2 linked regions of the Arabidopsis thaliana genome follow. The protein of the gene in region 2 purifies or fractionates together with the protein of the main gene of each other region. This does not show direct contact. Each region holds a gene or a part of one and is shown on either strand. Other genes may lie near its edges.

What was found. Proteins that work in one complex are often made in the same cells at the same time.
Region 1: the proteins of FMA (region 2) and ATBRXL2 purify together in Arabidopsis thaliana (affinity purification with mass spectrometry, with the first as the bait; one study listed by BioGRID). This does not show direct contact.

The regions. Positions count from the first base shown.
Region 1 is NC_003074.8:4,628,893-4,636,504, reverse strand, and holds ATBRXL2 (DZC (Disease resistance/zinc finger/chromosome condensation-like region) domain containing protein), read left to right. Parts: upstream 1-2,423; 5' UTR 2,424-3,024; intron 3,025-3,090; exon of another isoform or gene 3,091-3,118; 5' UTR 3,119-3,151; coding exon 3,152-3,289; intron 3,290-3,484; coding exon 3,485-3,864; intron 3,865-4,548; coding exon 4,549-4,684; intron 4,685-4,781; coding exon 4,782-5,173; intron 5,174-5,256; coding exon 5,257-5,335; 3' UTR 5,336-5,640; downstream 5,641-7,612. Other genes in the region: AT3G13990 (dentin sialophosphoprotein, putative (DUF1296)), read left to right, coding at 6,122-6,299, 6,669-6,712, 7,087-7,258, 7,598-7,612.
Region 2 is NC_003074.8:8,713,897-8,721,500, reverse strand, and holds FMA (basic helix-loop-helix (bHLH) DNA-binding superfamily protein), read left to right. Parts: upstream 1-3,289; 5' UTR 3,290-3,424; intron 3,425-3,668; 5' UTR 3,669-3,728; coding exon 3,729-3,746; intron 3,747-3,882; coding exon 3,883-4,548; intron 4,549-4,660; coding exon 4,661-5,095; intron 5,096-5,325; coding exon 5,326-5,411; coding exon of another isoform or gene 5,412-5,415; exon of another isoform or gene 5,416-5,936; coding exon 5,937-5,976; 3' UTR 5,977-6,383; downstream 6,384-7,604. UniProt on the Arabidopsis thaliana protein: Transcription activator. Together with MYB88 and MYB124, ensures that stomata contain just two guard cells (GCs) by enforcing a single symmetric precursor cell division before stomatal maturity. Together with SPCH and MUTE, regulates the stomata formation.

The DNA.
Region 1 (7,612 bases), 4.1 Mb from region 2:
TAGGGTTTCGGAGAGAGCTAGGGTTTACGAGGAGAGAGTGACGGTAAACGATTCACCATGAATCTAAAGAGCGAAAGATAATCGGAGAGAGTGATCGGAGCTGAGCTAACTCTTTGATTTTCCGCAGGAAGCAAAATCATGAAAGGAAAGAACAGCTAGCTACACGAAACAGATCGTTGTGTAGAGTACCAATCACCTACGGGCAAGTGCATGGTACAACTATATTTGGGCCTTAATGGGCTCAACATGGGCTATAAACTGAGTTTGAGAAACTTTATAGGCCTCAACTTTTGAATGTCAAGCTTTTATGTTTTCTTTTTCTGTCTTTTCTTTCTTTTCTTTGATCGATCATTTTACCTTAGCCATTAAGAACTTCTAAATCTTTTAACACACATAAAACATAAAGGATCAAGCCTTCGATTGTAATTTACCTTTATTTCATTTGTGGAAAGAAATCAGCAAGAATAAAGAGTTTTTGTAAAAGCAAGTAACCTGAAGCAAAGGATACTTCAAATTCGAAATGAACTTTTAAAAGGGTATGGTTTGCTTAATGATGGGGATAATGTTAACTTGACTTTCAAAATGGGTTATAATGAAAGTGCTTAAGCCTTGAAGGAGACAGAAAAGGTTGGGGGAAAAAGCATTAATAGGCTTAGTTGGAAAAACAACTCTATAAAGTTTAAATGATTATTTAATAATAACAAGCTTGAATCTAAATATTACATGCTTCATTTGCATGTCTCATCATCACTTGTTTTTATTTTTGATAAAATCACTTTATACCTTTTTTCAGTTTCTAAGGTGCAATATGCTATTTGTCACCATAAAGCTAGGCATAAATACTAATGATCATAATTGATCAAATTAAATATATAATCAGAAAAGCATCACTAGAAAAATACTCCAAAATTACTTAAACATGGATTAGTTGGAGAATTCTGAAATATTATTAAAATGATGAAATACAAAAAAACTGGTGTGGCCAATAAAAAGTATAAGAGTTACATGTATGAAACATTACACTTTTCAAAGTTGTACCTCTCTAATTAGCAATGGAACATACACTTTTTTTTTTTTTTTTTGACAACTTAGTGTCCAGACCACACAGTGATCTGACTAGTCCACTGGGTTTAAGCCCGCGACCAGGAATTTTTAAACATCTACTTAATGGCTCCCTGGAACTGGTGGTCTGAGGCGCTAGAGCAAATCCGCATGTTAATTCTCTGGTGACCAGAAATCGAATCCGGGTGTCGGACGTCTCAGTCGAGGTTCCTTTACCACCAGACCACGATACCTGGTTGGAACATACACTTGAAAAAGATAAGACAGAAATCTTAAGACTATACGAGTATTATGTTCAATTTAACATGGGGTGAAAGAGAGATCATCATAAAGTATTATTTGTAACGGATAGGTCATAGTTATAGCTATAAGATACGAGCTAACATTAAAATGGAAAGAGAAAGAACAATATCAAACAAGAAAACACAGATCATTCACGTGGTATGGTAAAAATTAAATTAATTTATATTTTGCAGTATCGGATCTGATCATTCATTGCTATAAAAACTGTTTTCTTTTGTCCTAATTTAAAAAAATGTTTCAGCTGTATTAGTGAAAAAAATAGAGAAAGCAAGCCAAAAAAAAAACTAAAAACATTAACTACGAATTGTAAAATAGTGTATGGTAAGAAACTCCACAGAGTGTAGTTAATTCTCGCCCGTTGCTTCACGGCGCTCCTGTGACCAAATCTGACATTATATAGACTCGTAAATATTCCTTTTTAGGTTTTTGCATTCATATTTGAATGCAGTTGATTTAAAATAATTTAAACGACTAGTTGCCTCTAAATGTTTGAATAAATTAGGAGTAATTACCAACTAGTAACATTCTGTCACATTTCCCAGAGTCACTGTCTTAAATTATGAAATACTCGTTATTGAGAAAATTGACAGATAACAAAATGGATTAGTTATTTGGTTTCCTTTTTCTTTTCCTTTATTTGGGTGCAAAATTAGACAGCCAAAATCATTTAAAAATGCACGTGTCAATATGTGGCCACACCATGGATATTTTGCACGGCTTCATTATTTCTATGAAAATAGTTTTATTTGTTCTTTTTTTTAAAAAAAAGCAAGAAAAGGGAAAAGAGAATAAAGAAAAAAAACTAGGAAATAAAGAAGAGAATAACATTTGAAATTTTCTTGGTCCGATTTCTTCACTCTCAAAGCAGTAAAATTGAAGAATATACTACTAGTTATGTTAGCAAATGAAATACAAGACGATTCAAAACTAAGTAATTTAATATAAATAATAAATCAAAAGTTGACAAAATGCGGATATTAAAAAATAGCAATAAAGCTGTAGAACTATTCAATTGGTTAATCTATGTTAGTAAAAACTGTGTTACGTTTTTGTTTTTTTTTGGTTTTGGTCATAATAATCCATAAGTATCAAACTTAAAGACGAATCTGAAAATAGCCATTACTGTTTTTTTTTCTCTGAAGAAAAAGAAAAGAGTAGAGCTTTTTTGTTTAATATAGGAATTAGGAAGGAGGAGGAACACAACACCACACTTGTGCGCAAACTTTCACAGTGTCCGACGATCTCAAAGCCCAAATATCAAAGCTCTTCTCTCTCTCTATCTCTCCCCAAAAATTCGTAGCTTTTTTGCATTTTGCTTCTGCATTCGGCTTTGGATTTCATAAAGTGTTGAGATTTAAGAGTGTATCTCACTCAATCTCTCTGATAAGAGCTTTCAAGCCACAAGTAAACCGACCCAGAGAGTTTAAAAAAAAAGAAGAGTCTTTAATGCGAAGTCGTTTCTAGGTCTGATCTACAGATCCTGGTACCCTAATTTTCCCCTGCCGCAACGGTCTCCTCCTTCCCTTCGCCGTCATTTCACCGGTGGGGTTTTACATCTGAATCTCTGTGGTTGAGAGAAAAGCAATCGACTTTAGTGAGTGTTGAGTTTATATATTGGAAGGTAGAAGTTGAAGTGCGTAACTACTGTTGCAAAAAAAGGTACAAATTATGAGCCTTTTTGGGTTCTCATTTCTTAGATTTGATTATTTTTGGTGGAGGAAGTGACTTGGGTTTCATTCTTCTAAATTCTCAGGTCGAAATTGAAACTCTTTAGTGAGTGATAGAGATGCTGACATGCATAGCTTGTACGAAGCAGCTAAACACCAACAATGGTGGATCTAAGAAACAAGAAGAGGATGAAGAAGAAGAAGACAGAGTTATTGAAACACCCAGGTCTAAGCAGATTAAGTCCCTGACGTCACAGGTAGAGATAAACATTCTTCCTCTGTGTCACTTTCACGAAAAAAAAACACAAATGAGAAAAGGACCATTTTTTGCTCTTGTTGGTTTCTGTTTGGAAGCTAAGAACAAATCAATTTAAGTCCGTGACTTTCAGAATGTTTTTCACTGTGTATTTAATTTTGTGAATAACATGTGATTCTTGTATGTGAATCTTCAGATTAAAGACATGGCAGTAAAAGCATCAGGTGCTTACAAAAGCTGCAAACCGTGTTCTGGGTCGTCTAATCAGAATAAGAACCGAAGCTACGCTGATTCGGATGTTGCTTCGAATTCTGGGAGGTTTCGTTATGCGTACAAGAGAGCGGGGAGTGGAAGCTCAACACCGAAGATTTTGGGGAAGGAAATGGAGTCAAGGTTGAAAGGTTTTTTGAGTGGAGAAGGAACACCTGAATCCATGAGTGGTAGGACAGAGTCTACAGTGTTCATGGAGGAAGAAGATGAGCTCAAGGAATGGGTTGCTCAAGTGGAGCCTGGTGTCCTCATCACATTTGTATCATTGCCTGAGGGAGGGAATGATATGAAGCGGATTCGGTTCAGGTAATTTTTAACTGTTTTGTAGGATTTACACTAAGTAAAAGTTTGGATATTGGACTTAATCAAGATGGTACAATATGTTTCCAATCAGGAATATTGAAGATGATACTCAAATGAACTAATCCATACTGTTTTGAAATTGTTTAATTTGATTTTGGAAGTAGAGATGTGTGGTTCTTGGAGACAAGCAATGTGAGAGTACAGTTGATATTTAGGATATTATTATGTGAGATTTCTGTGTTGGAAACTGTTGCTGCTTTCATTTTTCTTGAATCGATTGAAGTGGTCCCAAACCATTTCTTATAATTATGAGAACTTGTACATCCTTTTTGCCAAGAAAGGTCTTTGAGATGTGGGTTATATTTCGGTAGTTGAATCCGATGGAGAACTTAAATGAATTCCCCAAGGACAATTGTGTGGGGAAGTGTTTGTGAATTTCGTAAAGTTCTTTTTGTATGTGGAACATATAATGAGAGCAAGATGATCTAACTAACTTTCTTCATGGCAAGAGGAACACTTCAGCTCCCTAGGATTGATATTTCTAGATTCTAGTTTTGACAATTTACTGCAGATCCCTTGAGTTTTGTGAACCTAAGACTGTTAACCTGGTAGCTCTTTGGTTCTGTATTGTATATGGTTAAGTCAGCTCCTAATTTGTTGATTTCTTCAAATTTGTATTACTTGCAGCCGTGAAATGTTCGATAAATGGCAAGCTCAAAAGTGGTGGGCGGAGAATTTCGACAAGGTCATGGAATTATACAATGTACAGCAGTTCAATCAGCAGAGCGTCCCACTTCCAACTCCTCCTAGATCTGAAGATGGGGTATATGCACCCTCTTCACTTCTGAACACATGAATCTACTCATCAAAACCTGTCTTTGATACTTTGAGGTCTAACTAGTTTTAATTTGGTATACCAGAGCTCGCGAATTCAGTCTACCAAGAATGGTCCTGCAACTCCACCTCTGAACAAAGAATGCTCTCGAGGAAAAGGCTACGCTTCTTCTGGCTCACTCGCTCACCAACCAACAACCCAAACACAAAGTCGACACCATGATTCATCTGGTCTTGCTACAACACCAAAACTCTCTAGCATAAGTGGGACAAAAACCGAGACATCATCTGTTGATGAGTCTGCAAGAAGTAGCTTCTCAAGGGAAGAAGAAGAAGCAGATCATTCAGGGGAGGAGCTATCTGTAAGTAATGCAAGTGACATTGAAACAGAATGGGTGGAACAGGACGAAGCAGGTGTTTACATCACAATCAGAGCTTTACCAGATGGGACTCGCGAGCTTAGGCGTGTTCGCTTCAGGTAAAGATACATTACTTTCTCTGTTCCTTAGTAAAACCCTTTCAAAAGCAAGCACTTTAACAACATTGTCTTTGTGGTTGTAGCCGAGAGAAGTTTGGGGAAACGAATGCAAGATTGTGGTGGGAGCAGAACAGAGCTCGGATACAACAACAATACTTGTGATGACCGATGACGGTCGAAGGCTCTCTAGAGAAGAATCTGACACACACCAAAACAAAACACTTTTCTTTTATATGTTTTACTTGGAAAAAAGCTACAGAGTGATGGAAATAACTTGGGATTCAGATAATGAATGTGCTTTTTAGTTGGTGGTTGTTAGTACATCTCTTTCTCTTCTTTCTCATCTACATCTATCTATAAAGAGGAGGTATTAGTTTTACTGGATTTTCTTGGTGTTATTTTCTTAAGGTAATGTACTGTATATAGTTTAATACTAAGAAAATTCATATTATTGGATTTGAAAATTACACTTTGTGCACTTTATTACTTTTTCTCTAATTATATTGACCATGATTGGTGCTAATAATTATGGCATGTACTTAAATGTTCTGAATAAGAAATGTATAAAGTAAAAACCAGTTAAATTGCCAGCTAACTTGTATCTCCTTAGAAATTTCCATTTCTCACTTCTCCTTTGACTAATCTTTCTATTGAGTTATATTAAGGGTAAAATAGTCAATTAGGTTTATCCAATTAGTGAATTTGGAACCAATTTTTTCGACGCGTGAGAATAAATCCTAACTTCTTTTTTTTTTTTGTTCTCTTAAAGCCGTTCCCTCTTCTCTGTACTCGAAACCCTAGTAGTTGCTCTATCCGATTTTAGGGTTTAAGAGTCGAATCATTAGCATCTACCTTGATTACGCTGATCTCACTTGGTTTCGCTACTCGATCCTTGAATTTCTTTGTTTTTTGTGTGTTTCGGTTTATTCGATACGTCTTTGATCCGTAATGGTGACTGGGTCCAGAACTAGCGGTAATCGTGGGGTAGGACTCGATGATGAAGCGAAAAAGATGATTCAATCGATTAAGGAAGTTGTGGATAGTCACTCCGATGCTGATATTTACACTGCCTTAAAAGAAGCTAACATGGATGCTAACGAGGCTGTGGAGAAGCTGATTCATCAAGGTTTCTTCTCTCTTCATCTCTTTTTCTGCTTTCCTAGTTTGACGGAAGTTAGGGTTTTACTGTTTGTTCTCTGGTCCGCATTATCTTGATCACGATGAATGCTACAACATCTTGTTTGAGGCGTATGTAGAATGCTGTAGATAGGTTATGCAAATTTCGTTTGATGGAGTTCTGTTGATAATTCGATAGATGGATAACTCTTGTTTTCATTTCGATAATTTGTCAATTCTCTTCAGAATACTTCAATTACTATATACTTGAAATATTATTGGTCTTCTTTTCTTGGCTCTCGTTTCGTTGGGTGACTAATATGTGTGTTATTGTTGCCATCATAGTTTTGGTTCGCTAAAAAGCTTTTGTTTTGTTCAGATCCATTTCACGAGGTGAAGAGAAAAAGAGACAGGAAAAAAGAGGTGAGGTTACATATAACTGTTATGGTATCTTGTTCCCAGTTCTTCTCCTTTTTAACATTTTTGCCAATGCAACCACATTGTAGTTTTTTTGTTTGACTCTCCTTAGTCTTTTCGAAACTGCATTTGAAGAAGGTGACTAGATTTTTCATAATGTTAGTTGTGCTTGTGTGACTATTATATCTCATCGGATGTCTGCTGTGGCAAGCTATATTTTTTTTTTGTTTTGTTTAGTATTTTGTGTGCCTTCTAATTTAATTGATCGTCAAAAAAAATTTCAACTTTTCTAGCCATTCAAATAGTTTGATGAATTTGTAGAGATCATCAAGACACCTCTTGTATAACCTCTGATTTTTAGGGCGTTCCTTTGGTTTCAGGATACAGTATTTGTTGAGCCTGCCAACATAAAGAAACCTCTTGAAAATGTTACCAGTGAAGTGAAAGTTCGTACACAGCCTGAACATAATGTTCGGAGAGGAGGCTACAGTAGGAATTTCTTCCCCAGGAACGCTGCTCAACGAAATGCATCTCCTAGAAATCCTGCTACTGGTAAATCAATTTGATGATGATATACTTGCCAGTTTCTTTCGCATGCTTGTACAGTTGTACTAAAAATCTTTAATTTGTTTTAAGCTGTCTTTTGAATGGTTCGTAAACATAATCTATATAACGGCAGTATCAAATGAACTTGGTTAAATCCAGAAAAATATATGCAGGCAAGCAAAGGAAACGTAGAAGAAATTGTTTTGCGTTGATTTGTTTTTTTTTTTTAATCTTTGTTATTGGCCATTGGCGTGAGGCCTTCAAGTTTTATGTAATGTATTGACCATATTCACCTAGAAATGTTTTTCTGTCTGTTTGTAATTTGTTCGTTTCATGTTAGTGCAGGATCCAACAAAGAGT
Region 2 (7,604 bases):
TAGTCAATCAAAATATGTATCAATTATTAGTTATAATGTATTTTGTACATAAAGAATGAAAGAAAGAAAATTAAAGTAAAAGTAACAAAGGGAAAAAGAAGGAGGAAAGGCGACAGAAAAAGTCGCTGGAAAAAAAACAATAAAAAGGTAATAAAAGCCAAAAGGCCAAGCGATTCACAGCCTTTTTGTTTTTAACATTTCTACTCTGAGAAAGTCGGTTACACTGTATATTACGCACATTAATACAATATATTTATTATATTAACAGGTATTTTTAAAATAAATAAATTTTTTTTATCAAAATATATATCCCTTAAGTTTGAAGTACAGTTTCTATGACATTTCAGTTTTATCCTAATTATTTTTTATGTATAGTAAAAATTTATATAGTATATTAATTAGAAGTAAAAACGGAAATTTTAATTAGTTTTAATGTAATAAAAAAGCGACACGTATAATATGTGATTCATATGTATAAGAAAAATCAATTAATTTTAAAAAATATTTTTTAAAAGTTAAGTTTTTGTTGGCACACAAAATTTAAATTAACAATCTCAATTAAAATTTCCGATACAAAATTGTAGAAAGCAAATTATTATTAGTAGTGAACTAGGTACCTGAAGCTTCCAAACTTCATGTATGATTCCAAACTGGTATAGAGTACTCGTATTATAATCTCACGCAGCTACCTCAAATTTTTCGTAATTCCTGAATATGCCTATAATAGTTTTACATTACGCGTTAAAGTTTACTATATGTGTTCTAAATAAAAGCTTTGAGTTCTCCTTTAGAGTCACTTACTAATATGTCAAGTAATTTATGTCTCTTATTTAAAATAGAAAATTATGACATACATAAAAAATGTAAACTGTTAAAAAAGAAAAAGAACGCAAGATTGAATCAATTTAGATTATTAAGAGAACAAAGCGGAAAGAAAACGATGAAATGCAAAAACAAAAAAAAAACATTTTTGTAAAGAGGAAGATAAGGTGTAATGGAGGGGTACGTTTCTCATTAACTTGGTAAAATATATGAGAGAGCAATTGTCATTGGCTTACTGAAAGCTTTTTTGTGCCATTTGACCTCATTTCTCTTAAATCTATAGAGTTACAACTTATAACTTACAAAACTGTTGACTTAGTTTTACTTGGATTCATCTAACAATATGCTTTTTTTAGATTCCTTAATAAAAAAGATTTGTATATCTTAAAGAAAAAAGTAGGCGAAAAACACTTTTTAAAGGAGTGAAATTAATTGAAAATTGGTAATGATATTGGTGGTGATAAAAGTTTGGAAATTGATTTTGGGATCACCATCACTAAGTGGTTTTACTAGTGAATTTTTAGTGTTAAATTTACTACTCAAAGAAAAATTTATTGATATGAGTGGGAAAAAAAAGTCCAAAACAAAAGTATGTATATGATATAGATATAATAAATATGTGTGTTTACTTGGTTTGAACTGCACTTGTATATTGACAATAAATTTATGGTATAAGAATGCAAATTTTTATGTTTTTTACTTTTTTTTATGATAAAAAAGAATGTAAATTATTCTTTTGGAATTAAAAAAGAATTGAGTATATCAATCAGTCTCTTCGCTCGCTATCATTGAAGTTTGATCTTAAAATCTATATATCTTACAGTATTTCGATGCTTGTGGCCTGTGGGTGTTATGTATCGTAATAGTTGTTTTGTTGGCTCAATTGGGAATGGTTGCAGCAAGTATTTTTTTTGGTTGATGCTTCGATGCAAGCTCTTTCATGTTTCTTTTTTTCTTTTCAACATAGTATTTGTGTAATATGCACCTACTAAAATACTCCTATGGATCCGCGACTCTTATTCCCGAAAAAGTTCACTGGATTGATCAACGTGAATTTTTACTCCACTTTTTGTTAAAAGTTAAAACGTAACCATCCACACCAGTGTCTTTTTCTTTAAATGTATATGTCTCCACGTACACACACAAATAGTATAGGTCATGTTCGTGAAACTAATTTCATATATTTGACCAGAATATTTTTATTAGAAATCATATTTTATTGACAACACATAACTAATATAAGTGCTTGAATTTGAAATACTATAGAAATAAACTAAAAGATGAGAAGCGTATAGAGATTTGATTAAGTTCACGAAAAGCGGTGGAAAAAGAGCGGCCTTGGCTTGTGAACTCTAAAAACTCAAATCTTATCATTTATGGTTTGACAAACAAAAAAAAAAGATAGATAGATAGAGAGGTGATCAGCTGATACACGTGTGTTTTCACGTTACTTCTTTTTTCGTATTTTGTGGCTCCTCACCCTTACGTCTAACGCAAAAAGAAATAGAGTATTTATTACAAAAACAAGATATGATTTGGAATATTCAATAATCTTTCTTTTGAGTCAATATTGAACTTAATTTTTGTTCAAAATAAGCTAGGGAGTTGCTCTAGATCCCCCATTTCAAATTTGACCGTAAAATTTGGATTGTTATGTGTTTCTATGTAGAAGATAGAGAAGAACTAGATAACTATATATGTAATGATATTTATATATCAAATGGGATGAAAATTAATATTGACACATTATGTGCATAATACAAAGGGATTGATTGAATGAGCATCTTTTGATTAGCCAATCATGATTTTCTGCAAAAGCATTTGGGGAGACATTGAGAACTTCCGACTGCACGGCTTTATCCTGCTACAATTGGAAGCTTTTTTTACTAAGCATTAAGTATCTCTAACAATTATAAGAGGGCAATAATAACATCCCTTTTTCTTTCTTACAAAGCAATAAAAAAGGACAATAGTAACGAAAATTCATTTTTCCCACGATTGATATCTTTTGGTTGTAGTTTTTAGATTTTCTAAAACATTTTATGTGATGGTTGATATTTCTCTACTTTTAGAAACTAAAAGAGAATGCATAGAAAATTGCGAAAAACAATGATGTCTCGATAATTAATGGGAATATGATAGTAGAATAAAACAGCCACTGCAATCAAACTACTTACTACTAATCCTCAATATTTTAGATTAACTTATGTAGATTTTCATTTATCTTTATTCTTTAGAAAATTGTTTTTTTTTTTTTTGAAACATGTTTACGTATCTTTTTTTAAGTCGTTTAATTTGTTTTTATTGGGTCACGAATGTGTACCATTCACACCCTAATTAGTAATTAGAGAAACAAATGATTACGAATATACATACTTAAGAAATTTAATGCCCCCTTGCTATACCTTGTGTACACATGTATAATGTATCTCTCTCTATAAATATGGGAGCTTGGTGATGCTTACTCATTTATGACTTCTCAATACAAAAAGCTCCCCTCACTTTTTTAAGTTTTGTCTTCTCTAATCCGTCTTCTTCTACTATCTTGCATGTCTTGCGTCTTTTATATACATCTCTCGTAAACCCTAGCAAATCATACAAGGTCAGTCCCTTTTATTTTGTTAACTCCTTACTAAACAAAGCTCTAATATATTTGGTGTTAATCATTTTTTTTAATTGTCAAAATTCAATTTGAAAACTTGTTTTGTACATATAAAATACATGTATATGTATATGGTGAAACATGTAATCTGCCTAGGTTTGGTTTTAACTTGTTCTACGTGTGTTTTTGTTTCATGTATATGTTTTTAAAACTGACTGTGAAGCTCATGGATTGTTGTCATCAGGTCAAGAAGCTTGACCTTCATTAGACTTAAGCAGTTTATAATCAACTACCACGAATAGCAATGGATAAAGATTACTCGGTACGTACGTTTTTTTTTCCAGTATTTCAAGATCCTTAATCTCTTTTCTTATACAAATTGATAGATATCTATGTATAAGATTCAAATCTTCCTGCTTATGATATTAACTTCATTCTCCAATTCTGGTTTTTATTAGGCACCAAACTTCTTAGGTGAATCCTCAGGCGGTAACGATGATAACAGCTCTGGTATGATAGACTATATGTTCAATAGAAACCTTCAACAACAACAAAAGCAATCGATGCCACAACAGCAGCAACATCAACTCTCTCCTTCCGGATTTGGAGCAACACCTTTTGATAAAATGAACTTCTCTGATGTGATGCAGTTTGCGGACTTCGGTTCGAAACTTGCGTTGAACCAGACCAGAAACCAAGACGATCAAGAAACCGGGATTGACCCCGTTTATTTCTTGAAGTTCCCTGTCTTGAACGACAAAATAGAGGACCATAACCAAACCCAACATCTCATGCCTTCTCATCAGACGTCTCAAGAAGGAGGTGAGTGTGGAGGAAACATAGGCAATGTGTTTCTTGAAGAAAAAGAAGATCAAGACGATGACAACGACAACAACTCCGTGCAACTACGTTTTATTGGAGGAGAAGAAGAAGATAGGGAGAACAAGAATGTTACGAAAAAGGAGGTGAAGAGCAAGAGGAAGAGAGCTAGAACGAGCAAGACCAGCGAAGAAGTGGAAAGCCAACGGATGACTCATATCGCGGTCGAAAGAAACCGTAGGAAGCAAATGAATGAGCATCTTCGTGTCCTTAGATCTCTCATGCCTGGCTCCTACGTTCAAAGGGTATGATATTCATAAATTATATCTTAAAGAAAGAATTTTCGTGAATGTTTTTTTATATGTATATGTACAACTAATTATACTGTCTACACCAAATATTAATTGTATAAAATAGGGAGACCAAGCGTCAATCATAGGAGGAGCAATAGAGTTTGTGAGAGAGCTCGAGCAACTCCTACAATGTCTTGAATCACAGAAGCGTCGAAGAATCTTAGGAGAAACCGGTAGGGACATGACAACGACAACGACTTCTTCTTCTTCTCCCATAACTACGGTAGCGAACCAAGCACAACCGCTCATTATTACGGGAAATGTAACCGAGCTAGAGGGCGGAGGAGGGCTTCGGGAGGAGACTGCGGAGAACAAGTCGTGCTTGGCTGACGTGGAGGTGAAGCTGCTAGGGTTTGACGCCATGATCAAGATACTTTCAAGAAGAAGGCCGGGACAGCTGATTAAGACTATAGCTGCTTTGGAGGATCTTCATCTCTCTATTCTTCACACTAACATCACTACCATGGAACAAACCGTCCTCTACTCCTTTAATGTCAAGGCAAGTTTATATGTTAAAAAGTAATTCATCATTCATATTCAGCTTTCATATGCAAAATCTAGACTCATCAAATAATACATGTAATTATCTAATCTGGATTAGCTGTCATAAAACACATTTATAATTTTATTTAGGGTTTTCAATATAATCATAGATTATGGATTTGTATTGTTAAAGTATATGTAATAACTATCAATGGCTAACATGAGGTAGATGTAAAATATGTGCAGATAACAAGTGAAACGAGGTTTACGGCAGAAGACATAGCAAGTTCCATCCAACAGATATTTAGTTTCATTCATGCAAATACCAACATGTAAGGATATATATTTTTCTGCTATTTAAATATTCTTTCGATTAAAGATACTTTTGATAAGTTTCTGTTGGTCCCTTAAAACAAAAGTTTATGTTGGTTCATTGTTATCCATTTCACATGCCTTTTGTGTTTTGTTTGTTTTTACCTTTTAGATGTCATGATTATATCTTTTTGTGTGCAATGTGGTCTATCTAATCATCAAGACATCATTACTATGTGTGTGTGTGACTCTGTGAGTGTGTGAGTATATGAGTCTGGTAAAAAGTCTTAGAGTAAAAGATATTGGTGGTTCGATGTTATACATTTTACTATTTTAGATGTCTAGCTTTTGTCTTTTGTTTGTTCTTTTACCTTTTAGATGTTATGATTATTTGCTTTTAATGTTAGATATATATGGTGTATCTAATCTATCATGGTTATTTTCTTTGTGTGTTACATATGGTGTGTATATATATATATATATATATTGTAACATATTTATCACAATATTTGAAGTGTTAAAGCTTGGAAACAATTTTATTTCAGATCTGGAAGCTCTAACCTGGGAAATATTGTGTTTACTTGAAAATCATCACACGGCGACAACTTTGTACACTGGTGAAGATTACAGTACGTAATAATCTCTACATATTGGGTTTTATTCTCCAAGCATTTGGAAGAGTGTTTAAGTTAAAGGGAGTGCTTACTTTATTTTTTTGGGGCTTTTTTCATGCAATTTAAATTTTAGTGATGATTGTGTCGCTTGTAATGTTAGAACTCGTTGTTGTGATTTCTGCTGCTTTGATTTGTAGGTTTTGAACAAGCGGTTTAGAATGCTAAACCACTTATTTACTTGAAATAACTTTTTTCACAAAATAAAAAAGAAAAGAAAAAAACAATGCATGAAAACTTTTCTTGAGGGGAGGGAGAGGAACTATCATTTTCTTGAGATTTGTCTATGAGAAATGGGCCAATATATATACAACAAGAAAACATGAAGAAAAAAAAGGTTAGAAATAGCCAGTTTTAATCTTCAAAAAATTGACCATTCGGTTAAACAAAGTGACGCTTTTACACTTTTTCAAAAGTGATTTGACTAAAGAAACTAAGTGTCAGAATTCAGAAAAACAAATTCATTTAGGAGACTCAAAATGATTGTCTTTAATCTTTCTCTCGTACGTCAACAAAGACGAAACTCTTGTCTTCATCTTCTTTATATATTCACCATTAGCTCTAATCCAAGTCAGATCCGACACATACACAATAAATTCCAAAAGCACTGCTTGGTTTTCTTCTCACACCAAGTAGGTTCGTACGGGGGTAAGATCTTGACAGAGTCCAAGGCCAGAGAATTCCAATTCCAAATCCGTCCAAGACTTGAAGATCCTTTGTTATATAGCTTATATTAATTCATCGAAGGTAAGCAAAAAAGATTCGTGTTTGTCAATCGTATTATTGTGTTAAATGGTAAGATAATCATTGTAATTACTTTTGAAAATGGAGAGAGTTGATCTAGATTTCTGATTACTTTTTTCTTTTGTCGTGAGTTGATTTAGAATTCAATGTTTGTACATAGAATTTGTTTTCTCTTTTTACAGTCTAAGAGCACTTTAACAAGAAATGGGATCACTACACAGTCTTTGTTTTCAAAAGGTATGTGAAAATATGGCAAGACAGATACATGAGGACCACTGGTGATTACTCCTAATCGATTTTTCTTGGGGCTAAAAAGTGTAAGCACGTGTATAAGTACTCTCTCGATATTTGATACTTGAAACGTGCCTGATCAGTGATCACTAGATGTCAACAAGAAAATGAAAATAAACATATCTTTTTTTTTTGCCATCCTAGAATGGCCTTCAAATAAATGGTTGGAGTTTGAGACTTTTCTCATCTCTATTCAAAAAGCGGTAAATATTTAGAGGGTGACAGTTTGTATATAGAATTCTATTTTTCTTTTGAAAATAACACGTCATATTTTTCTGAGGATGCAAAATTGTAATTATTTTTTTGAAAATTTTTGTGAAATAAAATTTAAAGGAATAGTAGTATTATTAAAACAAAACAAAAAATTGATAAAGGGTTAGTGTATTGTTCATTCACATGTGTTATTTTTTTTTCTTATAAAGGGGTTTATTCCAATGTGTTACTTGTTCCTATTATTTGGAGAAATACGCCCAAATCTATAAAAGCTTCCTTTTTATTTCCAAACAA